Rhinolophus ferrumequinum: one gene and its partners. The protein of the gene in region 1 purifies or fractionates together with the protein of each later gene. This does not show direct contact. Links are inferred from orthologs where the notes say so. Each region holds a gene or a part of one and is shown in the gene's direction. Other genes may lie near its edges.

Evidence for each region.
Region 2: the proteins of MAP1LC3A (region 1) and KEAP1 purify together in Homo sapiens (affinity purification with mass spectrometry; 3 studies listed by BioGRID and IntAct, with this or other methods). This does not show direct contact. The link is inferred for Rhinolophus ferrumequinum from reciprocal best matches to the Homo sapiens genes MAP1LC3A and KEAP1.
Region 3: the proteins of MAP1LC3A (region 1) and CLTCL1 purify together in Homo sapiens (affinity purification with mass spectrometry; 3 studies listed by BioGRID and IntAct, with this or other methods). This does not show direct contact. The link is inferred for Rhinolophus ferrumequinum from reciprocal best matches to the Homo sapiens genes MAP1LC3A and CLTCL1.
Region 4: the proteins of MAP1LC3A (region 1) and CLTC purify together in Homo sapiens (affinity purification with mass spectrometry; 3 studies listed by BioGRID and IntAct, with this or other methods). This does not show direct contact. The link is inferred for Rhinolophus ferrumequinum from reciprocal best matches to the Homo sapiens genes MAP1LC3A and CLTC.

The regions. Positions count from the first base shown.
Region 1 is NC_046306.1:20,672,418-20,678,657, reverse strand, and holds MAP1LC3A (microtubule-associated proteins 1A/1B light chain 3A), read left to right. Parts: upstream 1-3,878; 5' UTR 3,879-4,314; coding exon 4,315-4,354; intron 4,355-4,621; coding exon 4,622-4,677; intron 4,678-4,761; coding exon 4,762-4,868; intron 4,869-5,136; coding exon 5,137-5,299; 3' UTR 5,300-5,732; downstream 5,733-6,240. Other genes in the region: PIGU (phosphatidylinositol glycan anchor biosynthesis class U protein), read right to left, coding at 6,218-6,240. UniProt on the Homo sapiens protein: Ubiquitin-like modifier involved in formation of autophagosomal vacuoles (autophagosomes). While LC3s are involved in elongation of the phagophore membrane, the GABARAP/GATE-16 subfamily is essential for a later stage in autophagosome maturation.
Region 2 is NC_046301.1:39,781,870-39,789,771, forward strand, and holds the start of KEAP1 (kelch-like ECH-associated protein 1), read left to right. Parts: upstream 1-4,888; 5' UTR 4,889-5,485; intron 5,486-5,830; exon of another isoform or gene 5,831-6,069; intron 6,070-7,610; 5' UTR 7,611-7,657; coding exon 7,658-7,902. Other genes in the region: S1PR5 (sphingosine 1-phosphate receptor 5), read left to right, coding at 760-2,099, 3,197-3,326. UniProt on the Homo sapiens protein: Substrate-specific adapter of a BCR (BTB-CUL3-RBX1) E3 ubiquitin ligase complex that regulates the response to oxidative stress by targeting NFE2L2/NRF2 for ubiquitination.
Region 3 is NC_046308.1:23,904,249-23,911,877, reverse strand, and holds the start of CLTCL1 (clathrin heavy chain 2), read left to right. Parts: upstream 1-4,615; 5' UTR 4,616-5,061; coding exon 5,062-5,103; intron 5,104-7,629. UniProt on the Homo sapiens protein: Clathrin is the major protein of the polyhedral coat of coated pits and vesicles. Two different adapter protein complexes link the clathrin lattice either to the plasma membrane or to the trans-Golgi network.
Region 4 is NC_046304.1:26,489,107-26,496,590, reverse strand, and holds the start of CLTC (clathrin heavy chain 1), read left to right. Parts: upstream 1-4,467; 5' UTR 4,468-4,680; coding exon 4,681-4,722; intron 4,723-7,484. UniProt on the Homo sapiens protein: Clathrin is the major protein of the polyhedral coat of coated pits and vesicles. Two different adapter protein complexes link the clathrin lattice either to the plasma membrane or to the trans-Golgi network.

The DNA.
Region 1 (6,240 bases):
GATTCAGAAGAGAAGGGGGAGAGGAGGAAGCAGTCAGCAGAGAAACCAGAGGATTGAAGGAGAGGTGTTAGTCTGCTGACTGGTCGGGTAAGAGGAAGAGTGAGCACAGACTTTGAGATTTGGGGGATGGGCCCCTCCCCCACTGCAGCCTCAGCCCAGGGCTTAGTCTGACAAAAGAGAGGTGTAACCACTTCCCCAAGGCCATGGCCAGCCTAGTTCTTTCCATTGCTCTTATTGGCTCTTATTACACTTAGTCTCATGCAACTTTGTGTTTGTGAGATTTGTCCACTTTGACACACATATCTGTAGATCAAGAGTCAGCAAACTAAGGCCCTAGGGTCAAGTTTGTTTTAGCAAATAGCCACAGCCATGCCCACTCTGGTTGTCTAAGATTGCTTCCACACTCCAACAGGACTGAGTGGTTACCAGGGCCACATGGCTGGCAAAGCCAAAAATATTTATTGTCTTGTCTTTTAAAGGGAAAGTTTGCTGACTCCTTCTCTTCCTCTTTCACTATAACAGTGTGTTGTTCTGTTATAGAAATACACCACGATATTTAACTGGACATTTAGGCGGTCGCAATTTTTTGCTATTATGAAAATGCTCCACTAAACATACCTGTGTTTCTTTGGGCTCACGTGCACTCGAAAGTAGAATCCCTGGTTTGTAAAATATGGGCATCTTCAGTTCTGATAGATTTTGCCAAATTGTTCTCCAGGGTGGCTGAAAAGATTTATACTCCCATAAGCAGCGTAAAAAGTTCCCATATTCCTCTAAAACTTGGTATAAAACTAATAAAACTAACTTTATTAGTTGGCAATCTTTTATATATATATCTACACATATATATATTCTTTTATATATATGTGTAGATATATATTTTATATATATATAAAAGAATATATATATATGAGAATATATGTATATGAGTATATATACATATATATGTGTGTGTGTATATATATATATATATATGTATATATATATATGAGAACACTGTGTTTCTCTAGGGTCTATCAGCTCCAAGTCATTGTCCTTCAATCTAGGGCGCAGCTCAGCTCCGAGGCCAGTCGCTATTTTCAGTCTTTAGTTGCAGGGGGTGCAGCCCCCTCATCCCATGAGGGAATTGAATCTGCAACCTTGTTGAGAGCTCACAGTCTAACCAACTGAGCCATCCGGCCGTCCTACCGTTTCCCCAAAAATAAGACCTAGCCGGACAATTAGCTCTAATGAGTCTTTTGGAGCAAAAATTAATATAAGACTTGGTCTTATAGTAAAATAAGGGTCTTTTATTATGTTAGATAAGATCTGATCTTATAGTAAAATATAATTTTACTTATAGTAAAATAAGACTGGGTCTTATCTAACATAATTAAAGACCCTTATTTTACTATAATATAAGACCAAGTCTTATATTAATTTTTGCTCCAAAAGACGCATTAGAACTGATTGTCTGGCTAGGTCTTATTTTCGGTATGAAACACGGTGTTGGCAATCTTTTATTGTTTGTAGATTCCTTGGGTTATTCTGGCTGTGAATGATAGTTTTGCTCTTTTTGCTCTTTTTTTAGTCTTGGTGCTCTGGCTGGGACCTCCATATAATACTGCATTTTGTTTGATGAAAAAATTTTAAATTTTGTTCCTGGCTTTGAAGGGAACAATGCTTAACATTTTACCATATACTGTGGTATTTTACCATTAAGTATAATGTTTGCTCCAAGTTTGGTTATTTTTATTTATTTATTTTTTTGGGAGAACACTTAGGAAACCATTTGGACTAGTTGGCTTTTTGAGGTATATGGCTACTCAGTTTGCCTATTTCTTTTTCATTTAGTCTTGGCAAATTATCTTTTTTGAGAAAATTGTTATTTCATCTAAATTTTAAACTTATTGGCATGAAGTTTATATAATCTTATTTTTGTCATTTCTGATATATATAGTTATGTCCTTTTGAAATTAATTTTATTTTATTGATCTTTTCAAAGATCTAGCTTTGTTTTGTGGTCCATACTAGTGTTTGTTTTCTATTTCATCAATTTCTCTTCTTCATTATTATCATCCTTAACTTTCTTTGTGTTTACATTGTTATTCCTTTTTAAAATTCTTTGACACTGCTAATAAATTTCCTGTATTCTTACCTAATATAACAAGGCTATAAATCTTCTAAATGCTGCTTTTAGCTGCTCGGAGTTTTTATTTTATTCTCATTTTTGGTTTGATCTAAATAATTTTCATTTCTGTATGATTTCATCTTTGAGTAGTAAGTTTTTTAGAAGAATGTTTAAATGTCCAAACATTTGGAGTCTACTTGGCTCATGTCTGTGGTCAGGGAATATGGTCTATATGAAACCGATTAGTTGATATCTGTTGAGAAATTTCTTGGAGTCTCCTAGTTAGGTTTTTTTTTTTTTTTTTGTAAATGTTTCTTGTGTGCTGGAAAGTAACATATTGGGTTCAGGGTTCTATCAGGGTCCATTGATCAGGACTATTGATAGTATTAAAATCGTCTATATTCTTTTTTCGACTGTTTGGTCTTCAGTTACTGAAAGAGGTCTTACTTAAATCTCCTACCCTGCTGGAGGATTTGGCCATTTTTCCTTGTATCTGGTTACTTTTGCTTTATACATTTTCAATACTTTTTTTAAACTTCTAACATACAAGTTCAGAATTGTTGTATTTTCCTAGAAAATTGTTCTTTTAACCATTTTGTGGTGACCCTCTTTATCCCTAAGCACATCTTTTTCCTTACAGCCTATTTGGTCTGATTTTCTTATATCTTTTGGTTAGTTTTTCTGAAGTATACCTTTTGCCACCTTTTCACTGTTGGTGCCCTAAGGTTTTAAATGTCCTCTTGTAAACAGCCTAGAGCTGCATTTTATTTTTCTTGGCCAATCTGATCATCTGTTTTAATAGGTGAATATAAAACATTTTCTACCTCTGATTATGCGCCATTTATAATCCTTTCTTTTTACTTTGCCTCCTTTTTCTTTTTTTCTGCCTTCCATATTTTAATACCCTTTACTAACTTTTTTCCTGCATTGGCAGTTATACTTTCTATTCTTTTAGTGATTTCTCTTAAATGTCTGAAATACATATTTGACTTTACAAAGCTAGACAATTATCATTAACTTCCTCCTCCTCTCCTATAAATCAAGCTTCTTAGAATGCTGAACTCTGGTTACCCTCTCCAGTCTTACCTGGCCCTGTGTTCAGTGCTCCTTGTTTTGCACTCCACAAATTAATCATCACTAGTCATGTTCCAATTAAGTGCTTGTTTAGATGACTTACATGTTTACCAATTTAATTGCTCACCATTTTGCCATCTAATTTCTTGTCTTTAGAGTTCTGCAAATTCACTAAAAAGTACCTAAATGCTTTTATTTTTATTTATCCTGCTCTGGATTTTATGTGAGGATCCTGGTCTTTAATTTTGGAAGCTCTTCAGGAACTGCCTCTCTTATATTCTTTCCTCTCTGGAACTCTAACTGGACATGGGCATTCTTCTCACTTTACCATTCCAGTCACTTCCTCTTTTATACTCCGTCCCATCACCTTTTTTATCTATTTAATTGCTTCTGATTATCCTCCAATTCAGAGAGATTCTCTTCTGCTGTGTCTAATCTGCTTTCTTGCCTCATTCTTTGCGATGTGAATTTCAATAGTTCTATTTTTCAATTCTAGAAATTCCTTTTTTAAACCTCTATGTTCCTTTTTAGGGCCTTGCTCTTTCATGTTTTAATTTCCCCACCCCACCTTTTTCTTTCTCTAACCATAAGCTTCATGAAGGCGAGGAGGACTTTTGGTTCACTGCTGTCATTCTCAGCACTCGTACTGTCTTGGAACTGACAGACTCGAGTGTGCGCTGTCACATGACAGTGACAGCAGGAATAGAGGATGCTGAGCCGCAGTCTGGCCTGCGAGTCCAGGCTTTCCAGGCTCTGCTCAGCCGGGGCCAGGGGGAGAGAGACCCGCGCAGGCCATGACATCATGGGACTGTGACGTGCTCTGGGAGCCCCCGCCCTTCATAGTTAGTGCGCGCTGGGAATCCAGGCTCTCTGCGCCCTGACATCACGGTCCGGGCGGGCGGGTTTTGCGTCGGCCCAATGGGAGTGGCGCGCCGGCCTCCCCTTTAAGGAATGTTGTGACCTGACGTCACCCGGGCGAGTTACCTCCCCGAGTCTCCGCCGCCGGGCTCAGCGTGAGCCCCGGAGCCCTTGAGCGCGAGGTACAGAGCCCCCGGAACCCCTGAACCGCAGCCACATCCCCGCGCCGTGCGCCCCGGAGCCTCGGCCTGTGCGCCCGCCGGGCCCGCGAGATGCCCTCGGACCGGCCTTTCAAGCAGCGGCGGAGCTTCGGTGAGGCCCGGCGGGCAATCAGCGACAGTGTGTGTGGGGGGGTGGGGGGCGCGACCGACAGGGCTGCCGCAGGTGACGTCAGCCCGGTGACGTCAGGCTCCAGCTGGACCCCAGGCTGGCAGGCAGGTTCAGGCCTGGGCCCCGGCCTGCCCGACGGCTCCAGGGGTGGGGGCTTTGGGGAGGTAGGGCCGGAGGGGCCACACCTCTGGGACAGGCGGAGTGAGCCGCGAAGAGGGCCCAGCTTCACTGCCCGACCTCCTTCCGCAGCCGACCGCTGTAAGGAGGTGCAGCAGATCCGCGACCAGCACCCCAGCAAGATCCCGGTGAGTCCCTCCGCCCCCTAAGCTCCCCGCCCGGCCCCAGGCCCCGCCCCGGGCTCACGCGTTGCCGCCCCACACGGTTCCCAGGTAATCATTGAGCGCTACAAGGGTGAGAAGCAGCTGCCTGTCCTGGACAAGACCAAGTTCCTGGTCCCGGACCATGTCAATATGAGCGAGTTGGTCAAGATAATCCGGTGCGTGGGCAGTACTGTCAGGGGGGACTCGGGTCCTGCTGGGGTCAAGCAGTGGGCCAGGTCCTGAGAAGGGCTCGGGTGGGGCAGGGCATGGGGCGTTGGGTACCTGTTCTGGGGAGGGTGGGAAAGGTCAAGGTCAGGGCTGGGGTCAGCGTCAGGTGAGAGCCTCTAGATGGGGCTGGGATGCGTGGGAATCAGAGGCTGGGCATCATTTGGGGGAAATCTGAGCTGCGCCCACCCAGCAGCCAGGGCCTCCTGTCCACCGCAGGCGCCGCCTGCAGCTGAACCCCACGCAGGCCTTCTTCCTGCTGGTGAACCAGCACAGCATGGTGAGCGTGTCCACGCCCATCGCGGACATCTATGAGCAGGAGAAGGATGACGATGGCTTCCTCTACATGGTCTACGCCTCCCAGGAAACCTTCGGCTTCTGAGCCAGCAGTAGGGGGGGCTGGCCTGGGAGTGGGGGGCCCTGTCAGGCTCTGCCCAGGGAGCTCCTGGCTCCTGCACTGAGCTGCCTCTGCCTCTTAGGTCGGGGCAGGGATGCCACCCCTTGGGGGCACCAACCACTCCATCTCTGCCCTGGGTAGATCCTGAGCCAGTCATGTTAGGGTTGTCCCTCTGGGTGCTGGCGGGTGGGGAGCAGCCCCCAGCACCCCTGCTCTGTCTGGTTCGTTTTTTTGTTTGTTTTTTTTTTAGGCCCCTGCCTGTCTGTCCACCTGCCCCTCCCCCACTCGAGGCGCTGTCCCCAGCCTGGACCCACCCACCCCTGAAGGTCTGGCCCCTGGCTCACCTGGCCTTCACATGGTGTATGAATCTGTGGGCATTGTCCTTCTGCAGAATAAAGATTGCTCAGGCCTGCCTGGCCCTTTGCCTCCAGCTGCTTGGGAGGGGTGGGGAGGACTCTTGGTGGGGCTGTCTCATGCTATTCTTGGCTCGCCAGTGCACATACTTGGATCCTGTGGATTTAGGGTTCATTCTGGAAACCCACATCCTTGTGAAGTGTACCAATGCAGTATTAGGGGCCAAGCCCACGTCTTCATAACAAAAACCATTTATTAAGTACCCACAACCTAACAAACCCTTCTCACCCTTCTTCCCTTTTCCTGCCTGGGAGGGGGCTCCTTGGTGTGCAGAGAGACAAAAGGGGGGTCCAAGTGGAGGTGCTCCTGGCAGCCAAGGTGCCACAGACCTTGCTGCTAGCCTTGGCTCCTCTTTGGTGCCAGGATTCGTGACACTGGACTTGAACCTCTTCTAAGGACTTGTCTGCTGGCACCTCCGGCTCGAGGGCTTGGCCCAGCTTCTGGCCTTCCCACCCCATGAAGTCCATGCAGCCTTGTGCCCAGCCAGGCCTATTTGAGCACAAGCATGGCCT
Region 2 (7,902 bases), on another chromosome or scaffold:
CTCCCCAGGCCTCAGTTTTCTCATGTTAAGTGGGGTCTGCGTGATTGTGTAGCCGTTTCTGCGTGGCTGTGTTTGTGTGGGAGCATCAAAACTTTTGTGCCTGTTTCTCTGCGAAGTACTTTTCAGCATCAGTTTCCTCGCCTTTAAATTGGGACTGATGGGAGAGATGTGTAGGGGACTAAAGGGCACAGTCGCAAGTGGGAAGTATTATTATACTTTAATGACATGTGTGCCCCTCTACAAGAGCCTGTCTGTGCGATGTGGATCCTGTCTGCTGCCTTCCGGCTCTGCCTCTATGAATTGGATGGATAGGCTTAACTTTCTCACGAGGTTTTGCGGTGGATGAAGGGAGTTTGGCAGGAAAAAGCCTTGTGTGCAACAAGACAAGTAGATTGTGGGGCTGGGACTCCAGGATGGGGTGTGGGTGGAGGTTGTGAAATTGTGGCCTGTACGACTGGGTGAGACCCTGTCTGCGTTTTGCAGAATTTGTGTTCCTGTATGTCTCTGCCTGTGTAGCTTTGCCCATGGGTGAATATATTTTCGTGTTTTCTTGATGGGGTCTGTGTATGTTTGCCCTAGTTCGTGTCACTGTATTTATATGTCCCTTTCTGTGTGTGGTTGTATTTGTGTGCGTTCTGTCTGTTTATAGTTGACTATGACTCTGGATATCCGTGTTTGTGTGTGAATTATGAGTATCCCTCAGCAACTGTGGGACTGTGTCACCCTGTCCCAATATTATTTCTGTGTGGGCCTGTTTCCATGGCCAGCCCCCTTCCATCCCAAACTCTCCCTGGGCCCCAGTGTACATGTGGGGTGGAGGGCAGGGGGTTAGGGCTCCTTTCCCAGTTCTGCGAGGCACATGCTCGCCTCCGCAGGCCGCGGGGATGGTGCGAGCCCAGCCTGACACTGCACCTGGCCTCTCTGCAGCCTTGGGGCAGGAGGCCCATGGATCCGGGGCTGCTGAGGCCGGCGCCGGTGAGCGAGGTCATCGTCCTGCACTACAACTACACCGGCAAGCTCCGCGGTGCGCGTTACCAGCCCGGCGCCGGACTGCGCGCCGACGCCGTCGTGTGCCTGGCTGTGTGCGCGCTCATCGTGCTCGAGAACTTGGCGGTACTGTTAGTGCTCGGACGCCACCCGCGCTTCCATGCGCCCATGTTCCTGCTCTTGGGCAGCCTCACACTGTCCGACCTGCTGGCTGGCGCCGCCTACGCCGCCAACATCCTACTGTCCGGGCCACTCACGCTGCGCCTGTCGCCCGCGCTCTGGTTTGCACGCGAGGGTGGCGTCTTTGTTGCTCTCGCCGCTTCTGTGCTGAGCCTCCTGGCCATCGCGCTGGAACGCCTCCTCACCATGGCGCGCAGGGGACCCGCGCCGGCTGCTGGTCGCGGGCGCACGCTGGCGCTGGCGGCCGCCGCCTGGGGTGTGTCGCTGCTCCTCGGGCTACTGCCAGCGCTGGGCTGGAATTGCCTGGGCCACCTGGACAACTGCTCCACAGTCCTTCCGCTTTACGCCAAGGCGTACCTGCTCTTCTGCGTACTCGCCTTCCTCTGCATCCTGGCCACCATCTGTGCGCTCTACGCGCGCATCTACTGCCAGGTGCGGGCCAACGCGCGGCGCCTGCGGGCTCGTCCTGGGGCTGTTGGGGGCCTCTCGAGCCGAGCGCGCCGCACGCCGCGCTCGCTGGCGCTGTTGCGTACTCTCAGTATAGTGCTCCTGGCCTTTGTGGTGTGTTGGGGCCCCCTCTTCCTGCTACTTTTGCTCGACGTGGCGTGCCCGGCGCGCGCCTGCCCCGTGCTCCTTCAGGCGGACCCCTTCCTAGGCCTGGCCATGGCCAACTCTCTTCTAAACCCCATCATCTACACGCTCACCAACCGTGACCTGCGCCACGCGCTCTTGCGCCTCGTCTGCTGCGGCCGCCGCCCTTGTGGCCGAGATTGGGGCGCCTCCCCGCGATCCGGGAGCGCCGCTGGGGCTTCGGACGGCCTACACCGCTGGCTGCCCCCGGACCTGGATGTCAGCTCTAGCCGCTCCGAGCGCTCGTCGCCCCTGCGGGACGGGCTGGACATCAGCGGCTCCAATAGCGCGCCCACAGCCGCGGAGACCCTGGTATCCGCACCCGCACCAGCTGCAGACTGACGCCTTCTGGCCCGCCATTGCCCTCCCTAAGAGATGTTTTGCAGACTTTTTTCTTTTTAAATAATAGAATTTATAGGAAAAGCAGCCGAAGATAGTGGAGGAAGAAGAGACACAGGGAAATGTACTTTATTGGCCTTAAGCCCCACAACAATGAACAAAACAGACAAGAATCTCTGCCCTTGTGGAATTGACGTTCTGGTGGGGGCACAGGCAATAAAGGAGTGAAGAAATAATGGAGACAGTTCCAGTGACAATACAGTGATGCGAATGTGGTCAGAGGACGCCTCTCTGCAGAGGTGGTGGTAACTGATGTGAGCTGAGACGTCATTGTCCTGGGAACACCTGAAGCAAGAGCACTTCCGGTGAGGGAACCACAGGTGCAAAGTCCATGAGACTGGAACGTTCCTATGTGCTCTATAAAAGCAAGGGCCCAGGTGTGGCTGGAGCATCAGTGAAGGTGAAGGCGGGAGAAAACAAAGGCAGGAAGATGACAGAGCAGATCACTGTGGGCTCAGGGAAGGACTTTACTTTTGTTCTAAGTGAGGTGGGAGCCATGGAGGGTTCTAGGTAGAGGAGGGTCTTGATTTGGTTCAGGTGTTCACAGATCTCTGTGTGAGGCAAAGGTGTAAGCTAGGAGAACAAGGTGAAGGTGACTGCACTGGCCTGGGGGAGAGATGATGTCAACTCGGATAGATTCTGGAAACAGCGAAAAGAATTACTGAGGAATTGAGTGTGAGAGTGAGAAAGAAAGTAGTCAAGGACAGCTCTGCAGTTTAGAGGGGAGGACACCAAAGACAGGACACCCTAAAATTTGACTCTGGGAGTCTCAGCCAATTCCTATCTGAAACAAGATGTCTTTGAGAGTGGTGTCAGATTCTTCATAAAAAATGAAAATATAATAAAATAATAATAAGAATTACAGCTTATTGTGCCTGGCTAGTCGCCCCACAGTGGTAAGCTCAGGACACACCTTTTTCTCACCCTTACTGCTACCTTGCAAGGTGGGTTTCCTCACCCCCATTTGACAGATGAGGGAACTCTAAGCAGTGAGTACCTTGCCCCAGTGTCTGAGCCAGGATACTTGCCGAGGCTGTCAGGCTCCCAGGCTCAGTCCTTGTGTCTGGCTCCTCCAGAGGGGTCTGCATTCTCGGCCTGGGGCGATACCAGGGCCCCGTTTGTGCCCATAAAAGGCTCCAGACGCCCTGGCCACGGTCCCCGGCTGTCCCTGAGCGCAGTCCTGACCCCTATGCGGCCTGGACCGTTGGGTGGGGCGTGCCGCGGAGTCACTTCGGGCTCAGACTGTGGCCCACCATCTGCCGGGAGACTGCGGAACTGCAGGCAGTCACAAAGCCATGTGTTTTGGAGGCACTCACCCAGCCTGGTGGCCTGAGTTTCCACCTGCCACACTCAGGTCCCAACAGGCTACACGCACGGGAAACCAACCTATTCTTGGAACACAAACACTCAAGCCTCGGGTCACGATCCCAGGACTGGACCCAATTCCCTACCTGCCCTGGTGCCCCCAATCCCAGGTTCCTTTCATATTCCAGGGGAGCCTGAAGTTCACCCCATTGTTTGGTTACTTGATGGCGTGATGGTAGATGTATTCACTTGTTCACATTTTACAAAAGTCAAAAAACACGTCCCCTTCTTGGACATGATCACTGTGGGGATTCCTGGGAAACTTCCAGAGCTATTCTGTGGATAAATGAGCTGAAATATAAATACATCTTCCCTCTTTCTACACAATTTTAGCACTGCTCTGCATCTTGCTTTGTTCACTTAATAGTATATCCTGGAAATTGTTGCCCATCCACAGATTTTTGTATTGTTTGGCTGCCTTAGTCTGCTCAGGATGCCATAACAAACACCACAGCCTCGGTGGCTGAAACAATAGAAATTTCTCACAGTTCTGGAGGCTGGAAGTCCCAGATGAGGGTGCCAGCATGGTCGGGTGCTGGTGAGGAATCTCTGCCTGGCTAGCAGACGGTCACCTTCCTATTGTGTGCTCTCATGGTGTACAGAAAGAGAAAAAAAAGCTCTCTGGTGTCTCTTCTTATAAGGGCACTAATCCCTTCATGGGGCCCCACCCTCATGACCTCATCTAAATCTAATCAATTCAGTCCATATCACTTGTTCTTTTTTTTTAAATTTTTAAATATTGAAGTAAAGTCATACAGCAAATGTCTTGCTCCTTTTCACTGACTGCATAGTATTTCCCAGCATGGATGTGCCACCACTTGTTACACGGAGAGACCCGTGGGTTGAGTCCAATCCTTTGCCTTTATACACAGCGCTGCAAAACACTTCAGTGTACACGTATGTGAGTATACCTTAGATAAATCTCTACAAGTGGCACTACTGGGTCACAGGGCCTGTAGGTTTGATTTTCATATATGAGAGGTTGCCTTAAGGATGGTGCGAGTTTTCCCACAGCTTCCGCCACTGCCAGTATTTGCCAACTATGCTATAGCGTCCCCCGCTGGAGGGGTCCAGAACCGCAGACTCGCGCATCTGGGAAGGCGGCGGAAGAAGGGTACCCCACCACATGCTCCTGCGCGGGTTTAATCCCAGACCCTGAGCAGGGACACTGAATCCTCCAAATTCAGTCTGGAGGCTGGCGGAATTCTTTCTTAAACCTCTTTGCGTTTCCATTATTCACTTAGTTTTCATAGAGGACTCTTTGAAAAATAGCCTTAAATACATTTATTTAAATGTTAACTTTATATCTTAAACAGCGTAAGTGGCAAGTCAGTATTCCATGCCATGAAAAATAGCGATAGTTAACATCTGTTAGGCACTCGCATTCGCATTTAGTGCTCCCGGTAACCAAGGTGCTAGCATTATTACCACCTCAAAGGGAGAAAACTGAAGCATGGAGAAGTCACAGGCCCACCCGCACAGAACCAGAGAGGGTGGCAGAGCGGGCCTTCGAACGCCCCGCAGGCGAGCTCCACGCACCTCTACATTAGAGATAACTAAAAAATATAGACAAAGAAACCCCAGCTAGATAGATAATTCTCGCTGGATCCTGCGGCCGTCGACCGTGAGACCTGCGTTAAAGAGAGAAGCGCAGGTCGTAGAGAGCAGCCCCGCGCTGAGACGACGAAATAGGTCGAATGAAAGGGACAGTGCGAAGGGGTAACGGGCTTTCCTGGCCGGGGCTCCGGGCACCTGCGGGAAGGGCGGAGAATCGCGGCTCCTTTCCCGCCGCGCCCTCTCCCCGCCTCCTTCCCGGGTGTCCCGAGGCCTCCCCTCACCCGACGGTCGAGACCCCTCAGGCTTTGCCTCCTGAGAGCCGAGGTCCCCTGACAGCGGAGGTGCCCGCGGGTCCGGGAGAGCGAAGGTTAGGCGGGAGACGCCCCCGGCGGGACTGCGGCCCCTCGGGTTTCCCGGAAGCTCAGCGCGCGGGTGGCACCACATTGCCCAGAGCCGCCGCCTTGTCCCAGGTATCCCCGCCCCGCGACAAGAGCTACCGAGGCTACGCAGGGGCCGAGGTGAGCGCGGCGGCGGCGGCGGCGGCGGGGAGGAGTGTCCACTGATGCCCGGTGTGGGCAGGGACGCGTCTGGCCTCGAACCCGGTGCCCCGATTCCCGCGGAGCTGACCACGCGGCTAGGTGCGCGGAGAGCTGCGGTCCCTGACCCCGCCGCGCCGCAATGACGAATGCTGTGGTCGCGGCGCTGGGGTTGCGCAGCTTGGCGACAGCCCGCGGGGTGGGAGAGCGGGGAGCGGCCACGGTGCCAACGCCGCCGCCTGAGGCCCCGGGCCGCGGGGACTTTTATTCTGACACGGCAAGCGCCAGGCTCTGCTTAGTCATGGTGACCTGCGCGCGCTCCGCGCCTCCCACCCCCACCCCCACCCCCCAGCGCAGCGATGGAGGCGCCGGGGCCTGGGCGACGGAGGCGGAGCCCGAGCGCGGCCATGGCGGGGTGAGTGAGCGGCCTGCGCCGGGGCTGCGGGCCCGGCGGGCCGGTTGCGCCCCTGCAGTCGTGCCGGGGGGCCGGGGGACGTGGCGCCGCGGGCCCGGTGGTCTGGGGGGTTCCCGTGGCCCCCGGAAGGCCAGGAGGGCGCGGCTCGAGTTCCATCCTTTTGTTGGACGGCGCGATTCGCGGGGTGGCCCGGGAACCACACAAGCCGGACGAGAGGCCTGGGGAGAGCCGCTCGGACGGAGTCCCGGGGACCCCGGGGCGTTTGGGTGCTTGACCTGCGCCCTGGGATTGGCAGTCAAGAGGCCTCGGTGGGGTTACTTCCTTCTCCAGGCCTCGGTGGCGGCTCAGGCGGGGCATGCGCAGTCCCCCACCTAGTGCTTCGTTAGGGGAAATGCCCAGGGGGCACCGTTGACCTGTTGGCCAAAGACCAAGAGGCAGACCCGGGGCCTTGGCTGGGGAGAGGTGGACAAGCGGCGCCCCGGGCCGGGTGAAGGAGGGTGCTCTGGTAGGCACAGTGGCGTGGGCAGTCAGCCAGCCATACCTTACTGACCCATGTGCAGTGCCAGACCCCAGGCTGGACTTGAGGGAGACACATGAGAGGGTGGGCACAACCCTGACCTGCCCTCTGAAGCGCTGGGGCTCAGGGCCAGAGGGACGGGTCACCCCTCAACAGGCAAGCAAAGAGGCTTATTTCAGTTCCTGACAAGTGGGGTGATGGAAATAAAACTGGGAGGTGACTCTATGCTGAGCCCCAGAAAGATAAGGTGGAGAACCTGGGGATCCTCTTGCAGATCCACCCCCCTTCTCCCCGCAGGACCTTTCAAAACACAACTCATGCTCCAGCCCTCCAGACTCCACAGGTTTCATGGAAACCCTCCCTTCAGTAGTCATTGTCTGTCATGACACACCTCCTTGCTTCTCCAGATTGTCTCATTCTGCTTCTGAGCCTTTTGCACTTACTCTTCCCTCTGCCTGGAAAACTAATGACTGTCACAATGTTGTCATTTTCTTCATGATCTCAATTTCTACTTAAGTCGCTTATTTTATTTATGGCCATTTTCCCCTCCCTCCCCCCCCAGGTATCAACTCCAGCACAGTTTTTGTTTGTCTTGCTCACTGCTGTGTCCCTGGTGCCTAGAACAGTGCCTGGTACACAGTAGATGCTCAATAAACGTTGGTGAGGTGAATGAAGGAGTGAATTGGACATGCTCTAGGAAGGGAAGGGCTACCTACCAAACAGAGTGAGCAAAGGGGAGAGGCGGACAGGGACGGAGTCTGAAGGGCTTTGCTGGCCATTGAAGTGTTCGGTTTTACTCTCCGTGCTGTAGACAGGTGTGGGGGGATTCTGAGCAAGGGGGTGACATCATGTGACATGTTTTAAGAGGGACTCTTGGGCTAATGAGGCCATAGGACATTTAGCAAGCACAAATGGATGCAGCTTCACCTGGGCTTGGCAAGGAAAACTGGTGTAGGAGTTGCTTTATCTTAATAAAGGCCTGGCCCCAGGCCCTGCCCCCAGCCCTGTGCTCTCCCTCCTCCAGGCCCCTGAGTGCCAGTGGTGGTGTTGTCCCTTGTCACCTGGAACCCCATGCAGCTGGAATCCAGGCCTAGCAGGGCTGGGGCCCGTACCCGATTCCTACCCCTGAGGTCACAGTGCCCCGACGGGGCAGGGGACACAGTGATGTACGCCTCCACCGAGTGCAAGGCTGAGGTGACACCTTCCCAGCATGGCAACCGCACCTTTAGCTACACACTGGAGGACCACACCAAGCAGGCCTTTGGCATCATGAATGAGCTGCGGCTCAGCCAGCAGCTGTGTGATGTCACGCTGCA
Region 3 (7,629 bases), on another chromosome or scaffold:
GGTTTTGATTTATGACTTTTCCAGTGTTGTTCTCCCCCGGTTTGGTGAACTTTTGACATCTACTGTAATACTTACTATCCTATAAGCTTATTACTGTTTTTGGATACTCCTTACTGATGTTATTTGTGTAGTTAGCCAAGTGATTTTTGATCAATAGTAAACATATGCTTAGTAAACATATCACTTAAACTTGGGATTACTCCTTTGACATGACAGCGGTATCAATGTATATAGTTTAGTCTTCACCACCTTTACTTTCTGACATCAACATATTCTATTAATTGCCTTTGACTTTTACCATGGTATACTGCTAACTGGATTGAGTGAAGATTGCTAAATAAATAATCAATTAGCCCCTCTCTAGTGTGTGCTCCTCCTCCTCCTCCTTCTCCCCGCTCGACATTCAAAAGTAATCTGTCTTTTCCCTCTGACTGCTTTTAAGATTTTTTTTTTTTTTTAGTTTTCATCAGTTTTACTATGATATGCCCAAATGTGGTTTGTTTTTTATGAATTCTGATTGAAGTAATTCTTCTTGAACCTGAGGCTTGATCTATTTCATCAATTTTCAAAACACTCTAAGCCAGGGGTGTCCAAACTGTGGCCCATGGGCCAACTGCGGCCCATGATCCATTGTTAATTGGCCCACAACAAATTCCAAAAATATATTTAGTTTACTTAAATAAACCAGGTGAGGCAATACGTACTTCACCTCGAGTGAGTGGCCCGGCTGTTTGTGTATTTTTACCGCATATGGCCCTTGGTGAAAAACATTGAAAAAAGTTTGGACACCCCTGCTCTAAGCCATTATCTCTCCGGACATTGTGTCTGTCTCATCCTCTCCACGTCTAGGACTCCAATTACATGTATGTTAGTCCTTACTGTAGCCTCTATATTTATCTATATTTTGTACTTTCTATACTTTTCTCTCTGTGCTTTAATTTGGATATATTCTTCTGACCTAACTCCAACTTCATTAGTTTCCTCCTTTAGCTGTATATAACCTAACAAACACTATTCATTAAATTTCGATTATAGTCTTCAGTTCTAGAATTTCCATTTTGTTCCTTTTTTATTTGTTATTTATTTTTATTTTTATTTATTTATTTTTAAGGAGGGCACAACTCACAGTGGCCCATGTGGGGATCAAACCGGTAACCTTGGTGTTATTAGCACCACACTCTAACCAACTGAGTTAACCAGCCACCCTCTTTTTCTAAAGTTTAATAAAATTCTCAGTCGTATCTTTTATTCTCTTAGCCATATTAAGCATAGTCCTTTCAAAGTCTTTGGGAAAACTCCATTATCTGAATCCTCTATAGATCTATTTGTTACTTCTCTTGATTTACAATCATTTGTCCTATCTTCTTGGATTCCTACTTATTTCTGATTGAGTGCTGATCATTGCATATGAAATAATTTGAGGCTTATCATGAGGTTGTCTCTCTCCCAAGAGAATTTATGTTTGCTGCTGGCAAGGACTGACATGATTTGAATGGAGTCCCAAACAATTTGTGTTCCAAAAGCAAAACATTAGGGTCTCTCCTGGGTGATCCCCAGACTTCAAACTTTGTCTTCCTATGTCTCTGAGTGTGTTAAAAGTGCTGCCCAGAACCCTAATTTCTCTGACACTCCTCTGGAATTGGCAGATATCCCTCAGGAAAAAGCATCCCAAATGCCAGGCTAACCGCTCTCATTTCTTCTTTTCTCTTGGATATTGACCCCATAATTATTTCTGCCTTGTTAGTTCTCTGATGCTTTCTGGAAACAGAAGCTATCCATGGACTTTTTAATTTCATGTATTGGAAAACCCCATGAGAATTGGAATTTAGCTATAACGTGTTTCCTAGGCCGGTTTTTAAGTTTGTCTTTCAGTTCTATTTTCCTTTCCCCATCTATAAACTGCTTTATGGTGCTGGCACTAAGACTCTTTAAACTATATTTCTGTACTGGCAGAAACTCCCTGCCCATAGGGATGCTGGAGGGCAACTGCAGGGTCTGCTCCTGTGGACATCACCCCAGCTACACTCTTCAACAAGTCAGAGCAGGTTCTTCCCACAGAAGAAGCTGAATCCAGTCTGAAATTTTTCCAAGACTTGCATAACCAGCCTCAATGCACGTCCTCCTCAGAGGTCTGGGACCTGGCCCCACAGCCCCTCAGCAGCAGTGTGCACCTAAGTCTCATAGGGACACTTCTCAGAGGTCTACGTCCCTACCCCATGGAAACCCTCCTCTAGGCTTAGAGACTCTCTTTCCAGAGGCCTGAGTTCCAGCGCTGTAGTGCTCTTCCTCTAAACTGAAATATTTCTAGTTTCATCCCATTCATCCCTGAGCTGTAGGGATGGTAGCTACTTTCTATACTTGTACATCCATGATAACTTGGGGTTCTCGTTTTACCCTCCCAGCTGCCTAGTTATCAGCTTTATTTATGTTAACTATTGTTTATACTCCAGTCCCTCTGTTAAATAACTGGCGTGGTTTCTGTCTCCTGAAGGATTCTTATTGATGTAGTTCCCATCCTTGTCCTTCCTCTATTCTCATTTTATTTATCTCACAACATGATTAGATATTTTGGTCCCACTTAGTATGTGATGACCAAGCTTTACAGTACTTTATTACATTTGCATTTCTAGAATTTCTATTTGGTTCATTTTTAAATCTGCTTGGTCATTCTTTATAGTTTCAGGTTTCCTGCATGTATTTGTTCCCCAGCATGTATTTTTAAGCTTGCCAGTTAGCTCTTTAAACATATTAAATATAGTAACTTATGGTAGTTACAAAATAGTCATGAGGATGCAAAGTACAGCATAGAGAATATAGTCAATAATGTTGCAATAATTGTGTATAGTGCCAGGTGGGTACTAGACTAATGCAGGGAATCACTGCATAAATTATATAAATATCTAACCACTACGCTGCACACCTGAAACTAATATAAAATAATATTGAATGTCAATTGTAACTGAAAAACAATAATTAAAAAATAAATATACTAATTTAAAGTCTGTTTGTGTGTGATAATTTCATCATTTCAATCTTTGTGAGTCTGTATCTGCCTTTTAGTTCTCCTGGTTCTTTCTTGTGGTGCTTTGTTTTCCTGAGTGTTATTTTGTTGTTGTTGTTGTTTTGTTTTGTTTTTACCATGAGCTGCACATTTTCCTTGGAATTTTATTTGTAGGAAGAAGGTCTGCAAGAAAGACTGTAGAATAGATACCCTGGGTGGAATACTAAAGTGTCTGTGCCCAGCTATCATGAAGTTCTCTTTCTTGCCAACACAGTTATCAAAGTTTTGTCCTTCACTGATGTGATAGGTAGAAAAAGTACATAATATAAATGTAATGTATATATAGAGAGATACAGAGATACATAATCAGTATGGTTTTAATTTACCTTTTTTATGAGCGAAGTTGGGCATTTTTTTCATGTGTAAGAATCAGTTGTATTTCTTTTTTATGTATTATTTGTTCATATATTTTTGCCCATCTTTCTGTTTGGTTGGTGGTCTTATTGAGTTGTAGGATCTCATCATTTCTATCGTGAAGATTAAGAAAGCACAAAGAATTGAAAGACTTTTGACAGGATTACTTGGCAAGTCACACAGCAACGGTAAGAATATTAAGACCCTTTTCAGGTAAGAATGTTTAGTTCCTTTATAAATATAGACACCAGGCAAAGTTCTGACTTATTTGCAATCCTACCATTTTGATTATGCATTATTTTCCTTTCTTCTGGGGTGTAAATTTTTAGTTTTGACCCCCCCAAAAAAAAGCCCTGGGTGGGTGATCTAGGGAATGATACTATTAATACTAAAGGATTTATATGTTTGGGGTAAAGGGTACTTGAGATCATAGGCATTATTGCCAAGATAGAGAAATGTAGTGTTACCCACAGCAAAAATCGGCTCTATTGTTAGGTGATGAGGCCACACAGATGTTGAAAGGGCAGTCTGCAGAGGTAATACTGGAAAAGAGATTTAATTTGCAAGTGAACAGTGTGTTCTCTTTAACATTTTTGGCTACTATATTGAAAAGTTAATGTGCAAATAATTGCATCGCTGTATTATTCAGGGTGGACCATTCGTTTCTTAAAATGACCACTGAGCAACCTGAAACAGTAGAGGATAGCGATTACTCTGTGAGAGTGCCAACGCAGAATGCCAAAAGCTTCCCCTTGCCTGACAAACATCTTTTATGCAGCCGAGCCATCTATATGCAAAACACATCTTCAAATGGTGCCTCTGAAAACAACTGGCTGCTGGGCAAGGCAGGTGTGGACTCTAGTTCCGGACTTGCTACTGCTATGTATTGTGCGACCACAGGCAACCCAGGTGATTCTCACTGGCTTTTGGTTGGTCATCTGCTGCTACCGTGTATGTTATCTTTGCAGACTCGTCGCACTGATATTCTGACACAGTATTCTCTAGAAAACGAATGAACCCGGAAAGATGTTTCCTATAGGAGCGGGGGCTGAGCCTTGCTCAGGAACACATCTGTCACATACTTCGAAGACTCCTTTGGCGGTGTTTTGGGCACATCTGTGCCTGAATTTTAAAAAGTGCCTCTGAACTCAACTGTCCAGAGTTTGAGGTAGAACTTTTCTACATATGGACGGCTCTAGGCAAGAGCAGCCTGGTAACTTGGTTTACCTCTTCTTCTAACCCCGTCACTCACGGAATTTACTGAGGGCAGCCCACGCCTAGTTTTCCGCCACACACACCTGTCCTGGGCATTGGCCCACTGCAGTCAGAGCCCGAGTCCACCTTCCGGTGCTCACCTTTCCTGAGCACAGACCCGGACAGCACAGACTCGCCTTGGCTTGGGGTGCCGGAAGTAAGGCTACGCGCGGACTACTTTTCGCGGACCCTCGGAAGGCGGGCGGAGGGATCCCGCGCACTCTCACGCGGAAGGGGTACGTGCGGCGAAGCCCAGGCAATGCGCCTGCGCGGCGGCGGCTGCGACCTCTGTTGCCGCTGCCTCCCGTCAGTGGGTCGGCGCGTCTGCCTGTCCGCGGGTCTGTCCACACGAGGGGAGCTGTCGCTTTCCCCTCCTCTGCTCCGCGTCCGCCATGGCGCAGGTCCTCCCCATCCGTTTCCAGGAGCACCTCCAGGTGAGGACCGAGCTCCCGCACCGAGGGAGCGGCGGGCGGGCTCCAGGGCGGGTCTCGCGCTGGGTCCTGTCAGCCGCGTCCCCGACCTCCCGGGGGACCCGGCGGCGCCGCTGACCGGCCGGCGGCCCCCAACCGACTCCAGTGGAGACGGCGCGGCTCGGGAGCCTAATGGCCGGGGCGGGCAGGCGGGTGGGTGTCGGGCGCGGTGGCCGCGTCCCGGGAAACCGTTATCCCGCAGCGACTGTCGGCTCTGGGGGTGCGGTCTGGGTAACCCTTCTCGGGCGACTCAGACCTCGGGAATGCTCAGAGTGCCGAGTGATGGAAACCATAAACTGCCGAAACCTGTCGTAGTGCCTTTGAAAAGCTTTAACTGACTAGCGGTGCGCATGCATTCGAATCCCAAGCTTTATAACTCCAAAACCTGTGTCCAATCCTAAAATTTCCCTTTTGCATCTCGTGATACTTACGCCGGAGTTTGCGTCTGTTGACTTGCAGAGTCGCTAGTGTGGCCTCGTGGGAGAGGATCTTCAAATTGTGTGACCAAAGAAGAAAAGTAATCATAGTGTTTTTTTCAGAAGATCCTTTCAATACGATAATAATACCCTCGAAGTTTAGCTTTTTAATGAGGTCCCACTTTCTTCTATCTATAACTCTCCTGATATAGTTGTGCCTGAGGAAAAGAAAGATTGGCTGCCTGTGTTTGAACGAAGTTCGGTACAAGCACTGGGCACAGCGCTCCGCTCACATACACTCAGGTGTCATACCTGTGAAGGGTAATACGATTCTCACTTTACAGGTGAGGAGATGGGGCTAGATGAATAGTAGCTACCAGCTCTTTCTTAAGTGCTTTATGTTAAATCATTACACTTCATAAAATACGCAGTATTTCCCCTGTTTTCTAAAGAAGGAAACTGAGGCACAAGATGTTAAATGAGTAACTTGTCCTCAGTCATTCATTGAACAAGAGAAGGATTCAGACTTGGGTCTTTTTGACTACACAGCTATACAGCAAGGAATTTGGTGGATTGAAAGGTCGTGTTTTCACAACACAGTGCACTTTTAACTCTATATCCAAACGAGAAAGGCCCTGGGAGTCTATAGTGACTGTTCAAATCGCCCCCATCCCGCAGATTGAAAACTTGATACCTGAGTATCCTGCCAGGGTTACTCGGTTAGTGATATAGCTGGTTGTGTGGAGGTGGAAGTCTCCCAAACACCCATCTCCTTCCTGGGCTCCATTCTACCACTGACCCAAGCCTGTTGCCAGTTATGTAGAACAGCAAAATACTACTACTGCTATTAGAATAATATAGTCATCATTTATTGAGCTGTTTCTCTTGCCAGTCACGATACTGTATATTTTAGAAATCTCATTTAATTTAACTCACGATAATTGAGGCACGAAGAGGTTAAGTAATTCAGGTAAAATTACACAGCTGGTAAGTGACAGAGCTTGGGTTCTAACCAGGTCTCTGACTCCAAAGCCTGTGCTTTAGCCACTGTCAAAATACATTCTTTTCAAAAGGTAGGGAAGCACTAAGGCATTTTAAATACCCATCAAAGTTCATAATGCCTTGAAGGGACATATTCTATTATCTGGAAAATATGTGTGGCTTGTGGCATACAGGCCATGAGAGTAGAAATCTGTGGTTTGTGGTTTCTGGCACTAACCAGTGTGAAGGCTGCTTTGCACTCCTTGTTTATTATCTAGCCTGCACACTCTCCCTTCACGGCAGACATTTCAGAACTTCCACCTTGTCCTTAAATCCCTGATCCTGCCACTCCCTCTCACTGCCAGCAGGTAATTAGAGAAACAAGGCATAAGCTGGTATGTTCCTCACCTTGATGCATGCGGCCTTACAAACTTGTATGCGATCTCCCTTTTCTGCCTTCCTGTTACCTCCAAAGTGGGGTTCTTTTTCTTGTGTATGTAATGGGGCCTTGCTCGGTAGCATCTTGTCTTTCCCGTATTTTCATCCATTTCCTCTTAGTGGGTTCTTCCTGCTTGTGCTTAACCATGCTCATATTGCTTCCATCTTTACAGCAAACTTCTTCCTCCCATGTCCTCCTGAAGCTCTTACTTCATGGCCAGACGTCATGAAAGAATTGCCCTATCCCTTCTTCACTTCCCTTATGTTCCTCAATAACCTGCAGTCTGGTTTTTGTCCCCCTTGCCAAGGTCACATGCAGACATGTCGTTATGCAGACTTTTTTTGTAAAGGACCAGAGAGTATATATATTCAGCTTTGAGGGCCACATATTGTTTCTTGTCACAAATTCTTCCTTTTTTTTTTAACCTTCTAAAAAATGTAAAATCCATTTTTAGTTGGGCCATACAAAAACAGGTTATGGTTTGCCAATCCCTGCTGTAAAACATAAACTCCATCACGGGGATGTAAAGTACATCACAGGAGATATAGTCAATAATATTGAAGTAACTGTGTATGATATCAGATGGGTACTAGACTTATCGGGGTGATCACTTCATAAGTTATATGATGTCTAATCACTATTTTGTACACCTGA
Region 4 (7,484 bases), on another chromosome or scaffold:
CATTTTTCATGCCTTTTAGTGCTAACAGGGTTGGTTCAAAGAAGAAAAATAAAATTTAAATCAATAACCATGAGGTAGGTTCATATGAATACTACATATTTTTCATTACTGGAGTGTAATGAATAGTAGTTGTATGATTGTATACATTAAACTCACAATTATTTGGAATATGAGCAACCAGGAAAAGAAAATAACCCGGTTTTGGGTTTATTTTACATGATCCTCTTTTATCAGTCATGACATGTTACTAAGGCAATTTTTAAAAAGTCATTTCTAGTGTGTTCTAAATTTGGTACATACTCGGACCAGGCAACATTTGCAGGAGTATTGTACAAAAACATCACAGTGATGAACCTGAGGCCTTTTTAAGTTTCATAATTGCTTTCCCTACATAAAACGTTTTTTTTTTGAAAAGCCTTTTCAAAAGATTTTAACATTATTTTTCATTTTTTTGTACTGAAAAGTATTTGTTGACCATGTAAATTCAATTTTACACTTCCTTGAAACTTTGCTATTATTCAGTTAGTGAAAACTTTACCAAATCTCAGTCCTTAGCCATTCTGTTCTGAAGTAGAGTTTACTACCATAACAAGGCCACATATGTGTACATTGCCACTGATGGGAGTACCTACCCCTGGAGTGTGACAGAATTTTAAGATTACTGAGAGAACACGTTTGTGGGTCATGCCTTATTTTGAATTGGAGACAGTAATAACTCTAGAAAGTGAAAAGACAGTTCCACATGTTTAGAAAGGAGGAAAAAAATAGCCCTTAACAATCATTCCCACGCCTTGAGCCTCATTGCCCTTCATTCTATAGATCCTCTCAAGCTTCTTGTGACTTGTTTTTGGTTGTAAAAGAGATGTTGTGATGTGGCATTTGATCCCCTATTGATCAGCAGGGTTATAACTTCTGGGTTTTCTGTCCACAATGCTCTATCACTATATTTGAACCAACCTTCCTGAGATGACTTTGTAAGGTAGTGTTATTATAAGCTTTATTCCTCTGCTGGCCTCTGATTTAACCTTTAGAAAACATGCGAGGGGCCTGTGTAATATGAATAGATTCCAGACCGTATTCCCACAGGACTAGTCTTGGCTATCCTGACATGGAATAAAGATTCACTATAGATCTTATTGCCATCTTTGAAGCATTATAAACTTGTCTATGTAAATTAGGTTTAGGGCAAGCCTGAGTGAATGATACTGAGTATCCGAGTTAAGTTCGAGAACATTTCATTCTAAAAAAGGCCACAAAATTTTTTTTCTTTTTGTGTCCTTTTGGGTGAGCGTTGCCTATAATCAGTGCCTTATACAGGGCTAAAATAAAGCGAGCACTGTATGTTGACTGATACCTGAGCCACTTACTGTGCGTTTGATGTACTGCCCTTGATTTAATCCTGCTGGGATTCGTATCAGTGGCCCTAGAGGGCTGAGATGTTTCAAAGCTGCGGTTTAAATGGCAAAACCACTTATCTTACTTGGGTAATGCTAAAGTATATCCTGTTTGGTTTTGCTAAAATCTGAATTTTAAATATTTGGTACTGGTGGATTAGGTTTAAAGTTCTGCTTTAAAATTAATCTCTTAATGTTTGAGGAATGCCTTTACGTTGTGGTTTTTGCAATGCAACTAGCTCACACTGTTTTTAAAAGGTCAAGTTAAACAGCAGGGACCTTAATTCAGGGACTGCTTGAAGATGAATAATACAGAGGAACTTTCGACAATGATAAGTTTTTCTGAGGTGTCATTCTCATGTGAGGTTAACCTGTATTATAGTTATCGGCATAAAACATAAAAAAGGTTTTGAGAAATTGGCACGCCTTAAAATAGATGAACAATGCAGTTTTTGCTAATGGTGCTTGCTGTGACTCAGAGCAAGGATATTCTGCTAAAAAAATAGCTTCAAATTGAAAGAACTTGGACCATTTTTTAAACATGGCTACCTTACCTAAACCATTTTCTGAAACCAAAGGATGATGATACATTTATAGTAGTACTCTTATTAAAAGACTTTGTCATACTTAGGGGGGAAAAACCCCCAGCATTTGTTTTCTGGTTTATTAGGCTATTTATTTTCTTCTCTAACTTAATATGGTACCTGAAAACAAAGCCCTTCAGTTACTGCTCAGGTAACTGTTCATAGTGACTCAGCCTTTGGGGCTTCTAAACCAAGGATTGACAATCTTTTTTTCCCTGCCTCTGCATCTTTAGCGACAACAGCATACTACCATACAAAGCTCTTATTACCTCAGCCAAAATTACTGATTTTTAAAATGCAATTTTGGTTTTTCAATTTTTTACCATCTGGACCATTTTTTTCTCTTGAAAAATTTTGGATTTTTTGATTTGAAGTATACAGTGTTCAAAATGAGCGGGTATATTGTAATCTATTTTTATTCTCCCTAAATGATTTCTGAGAACTATGCATTCACTAGATTTCTGTGTGTGATGACACAGCAGTCACTTTAACACAACCTCAGTGCACTTTTGGTTAGATATTGCCCACCAAATATCCAAGCTAAAATCAATTCCTTTGGGGATTCTAAATGTAGTTAAAATTACACAGGTCTGTACGAAAACACAAGTTATTAATAAATTTCAGTGGCTTGTTCATGATATAATTTGTATCCCAGATTATAATTGGAAACGTTTCTTAAGCTATAGCTTTTACTGGAATAAAACAATAAGTCCTATAGATTTTTAATTTAGAATTTGTCTATTTCCAGAAAGGATTGAAAGTAGCTATTATACTGGTATTAGGAAGGTCATTTACAATGTTGCAGAATACAGAACATCTTCAAGTATTTGGCTTAACAAAATGAAATTTTGCCAAGCATAAATATTTACTCTTATGACATGGTGGCAAGGCTTTTCTTTGCAGAACGTTCTCTGCTGTTTCTTACCTGCCAAAGATTCTTCCCTCATCCTCAGTATGTGACATATATTTTGGAAAAAACAAAGCAATTTAAATGATGAAGCAAACTTCTCTAGGCAAAACTGCTTAACACACAAAATCATTGCATACTTAATAGTGTTCTACGTTTTTAACTGGGAAGGGCACTAAAAATCACTGTATACTTGAGTATTTCCTCAAGATCTTTCTGGAAAAATAATCACATCTCTTATCAAGATGAAAGGCACGGAACTAAATTTTTTTTTGTCATTGTATTTGTGCTAGTATGAAATATTACAGCTTACAATTTAGCAATAAAGTACTGGGAAGGTTATTAATCGTTAATTAATACCATAGATACATTAATGCTGTTAGAAAGACATGACACTCCTGCTTTGAAGCGCTTACATTTCCAAACAGTGCTAATTTATAAGCAATGTGGAGGTGGCCCTGCCAATAGTTAGTTAATCCCTTTCTCCAAGAGTGTTCATTAGCCACACCGAGGAAGAACCTTAAGGTTTTACAAACCACCCTTAACCTAATTATCTAAATCTTCCGAGTCTCGTGATTTGATGTGGCCAAAAGATTCCTGCTACAATTTTGGTCCAGTTCTTCCGCGTATTTATGATACTCAAACCCTTTAACACCAAAAAATGTATTACTAAGCTAGGCCGATATGCATGTCCGCCAAAATGTCCGCAGAAACGTTAAAAGCTATCACAAGGCCAGTTTGAGATACCTCAGAAATGGCCTTCACTGTCCTTCGAGCCACTTTTTAAAGTAACATCCGAAGAGACTGCTAGCTCTTAGTTAAGAATCCAAGCGTGTCTCTCCAACCGTCAGAAGGGTGTGCATAGGGCAGGGAGGATTTTAAACCCCATTTCACTCCCCCGTCCCTGAGATGTAAGAAAACACCCACTATATGAAACTAGGCGGGGGAGAACTGCAGCCAGCTGCCAAAAAAGCGCTCTGCAGGGAGGTCGTTTCCCTGAGTCACGGAGAGGGCGGGAGGCTGGGCCCATCTGCCCACTCCACGTTCTCTTCGTAAGGGATTCAGTTTAAATAGGCAGGACCCACAGGGAACGGGAGCAGCACCACCATTCCTCAAGGCGGTCCAACAGCCACCGCATTCCCAGGAGACTCCACATTTCTCTAGAACTCGTTCTGCATTCTGGCAGCAATCAGCCAACCCATCCTGACCAGCATCACGTGCACCCGGAAGTACGTGGGTGGGACCTAAAGCGCCCACGGAAATGACGTCGGTCGCCCCTAGTCGCATGATGTGGCAAAATGCAAAAAAAAAAAAAAAAGAAAAAAAAGAAAGGAGGGAGGGAAAAGCCGGAGGCTGGGGAAAGTGATGAGTCCAAAAAAGTAGTCCCTTCGCTTCCTCCAATTCCCCTCATGTGTCAGCAGTAAGCGAGTCCCACAGCGCATTGCGTCCAGAATTCCTGCGCCCGCAGCACCGCGGCGCTCCGTGGAGGGGTACATAAGACGGAGGGGGTGAGGTGACTTGGGCGGAGTTCTGTCGCCGGGATCCCTCCGCAGGGCTCAGCCGTTTCCGGAGTCTGCGCTGCGCCCGGTTCCGCCATTGCGGCTCTCCCGGACCCTGGAGCCTCCGCCCCCGACCCGAGCTCTTTCGTCTGCCTGCCAGTTTCCTGCGTCCCCGGAGAGTATCCTGCTGAGCCCAGCCTACCCCCTCCCTTTTCTCCTCCTCTCCCTTGGAGAGTCCGGGCAGCCACTGCCCCGCAGCCCCAGTGACAGGAGGAGACCATACCCCCGACAGCGCCATGGCCCAGATTCTGCCAATTCGTTTTCAGGAGCATCTTCAGGTGCGACTGGGCCCTGGCTGGTCAGGGCTGTGGAGAGGGTGGTAAGGAGGAGAAAGCTGGAGTCTAGGCCAAGCAAAAAGCTGAATCGGAGGTGGGGGTGGGGGTTGTCGGTGTCCGGGGTAGATGGAGGATGGGGGCGCTATTTTGGAAAGCTTAAAGGGTTAAGTGATGTGGGGTTTGGATGGAAAGGACGAGAGTCGGGGTGCAAAGTGCCGCGAGGCCTGTCGTGGGTTCGAGGGCCTTTCTGTCTTCGCTTCCTGGATGGCAAGAACTGCGCATACTAACTCCACCCCTCTCCCCGTTTTATTCAGTTCATTCATTTGGATAGGTTGGAGCGGGGGGAATTCTCCGTGTTTCTTCCGGAGCAAGGGTTTCATCGCCTAGGTCAGTGCAGGGCTGTCACCTCCCATTGCTCTTTTTCCCCCAACGTGTCTGCACCCAGGAGTTGTAGGGCGGGTGGGTTGGGGAGGAGCAATCTTTTTCTTCCTTCCTTTTGCGGCTCTCATCTGGGAAAGGCACCTTCCCCTGGGGGTGGGGGGAACGGCGGTGGTTTGCCTCTTGCCATCCCCGAGGCAGTAGGAACAGAAGGTCACTGAAGGAACTGGAGGATAGAATGGAGGAACGTATTTCTCAGGGCGGTGTCAATCTGAGTGCGTGGGGTCAAGGTCCCTAGGGGAACTCGCCTTTTTTCCCCTCTCTCTTGAGTCCTGGGCATGGAATGGCCCTCAATCCCCTCTTTGGTTCTGGAAGGTAGGAAGGGTTATGGAGAGGTTATCTTGGGGTCTGCTGGAGTGTAGCAGGTAGTTGTGGGCGTGAGTACCTCCCTCAGGTTTGCTGGAATCAAATCAAGCCCTGAGGATAAAGCACACCTGCTCTGAGATATGCAAGGTTTTGGGCCTGTAATTGGCTTCCTTTTCGTAGGTTCTAGAATTCTTCCCCATGGTGCGTTATCCTGTAGACAACATACTGTCTTATCTGGCAACATGCCCAGGGAGGGCCCAGGCAGGTGATCATTGGAAGGTTTGACTGAATTAAGCCTTTTCTGAGCTGATTTCCCTGGTTCACCAATCCTGGTTTCACTTTGGCTGAAATAATTTATTAATATTAATGTGCTTTCTTCCGAAATACCCCTTAAAGAGGCTTGCCTCAGCTCAATCTTCTGAAGAGCTAATTTCACAATGATAAAAGAGACTGGTTTGACATGACACTAATACTAGTGACCTATTGGCTATCGGACACTTTACCACTAGAAGGCTAATTTTATTTACTTTTTTCCCATTGGTATAACATACATTAAGGATTCTTGTTAATAAAAAGGTTTAATGTATCAGTAACATAATTTCATATTTCTTTACAGGTATTATCACCTTTGCTTGCATCAGCAAGAAATTCTTTTCCTTTTAAGTCTTGAAATGTAATGAATAATCTTTACTCAGAAAATGAGTTAAGTAATGCCTTTTCTTCAATCATCTATGGTTTTCAGATAACTTATCTGAAGTAATGGAACACTATTTTACAAAAGGTTAAAAAAATGTTAAGTGACCTAATGGACACGGAGAAGTTATTGTTTATGCTCAATCTAAATTTTAATTGCTGTGCTTACTTCTGTTCAAGTGGGGTGTAAATGAATGTGTAGGTTTAGGGGAAAAATGTCCTTGGGTGTGGGGGAAAACACAGGCTTCTCACACTGAAGTGCATATGATGTATAATCTTTCTGCAGACAGAGGTTTGTAAAATCATACACAAGAGAAGCAGGTATAGTTGCTGATTACAAGGCAGAAATACAGCCCACTAGTAAGTCTTATTTCTTAACTAGTGGTGGTTTGAGCAATAGCTTGTCACACCTAATTAAGAAGAAACAAGAATTGTTAAATAATCCCAACGATTGGAATCCAACCTTTTAACTGATTGAAGACAGGTTTAATGTGAAGACGGTCTGATATCTAAAGTATTTGAAATTTCTGCAAATACTTGAGTGAAGCCATTTTCTTCTCAAATAATTTGAAGATTTGAGCATAAAGCAGCTTTGTAAATATACTTGAATAATTTAGTCATCCCTTTTTTGGACTAATATGCCATGCCTAAACTTAAGCTTGCTACTGTGACTTTGTACTCCAACTGGTAGTGATTAGTTGTGCAAGGATCCCCAATCACCAACCTCTTCCAGGAAAATATACTCCTGACTTCTCATTTTTATCCCTTCCTTTTTTAAAAATAAATAAGAGTTGTTTTAATTAGCATTTTAGGTCTTTGACCTCTGAGTCCTGCCAGTTTGCTAAGTAGCAGAAAACTTTCTGAAGCACGTAGGATAAAAATTGGGAACAAGAATTGAGGAACTTGAGTGTAGAGTTAGCTTGTGAAAGGTAGACTGTAAATGAATTTATTTCTATACTATGTAACTACTTTGGCCAACTGAAGGATCTATCATCAAGGCTTGAAATTGCAGCAAATAAATAATAATATTTTAAGTTATGAAAGATTTTTTTTTTCTCTTTTAGGATGTTTAGGCTGATAGCAGTCAACAGATGAGTGCCTATTTGAGACATTGCTAGAGTTGCAGATTCTAAAAAAAACAAAACCTTAGGCTACATATAAAATGTTGCCTGCAATTCTTAATTCTTTGCACATTAAGTATCTTTATGTCAATGAACACATTCCACTGTTTACCAGGTTTCTCAGGTCTGTAATTAAAAATCTCCACTCTGTTTTCTTCCCTTTGATCCGTAGACTCAGGCATGGAATATGTTGTGAGTTGAATGGTA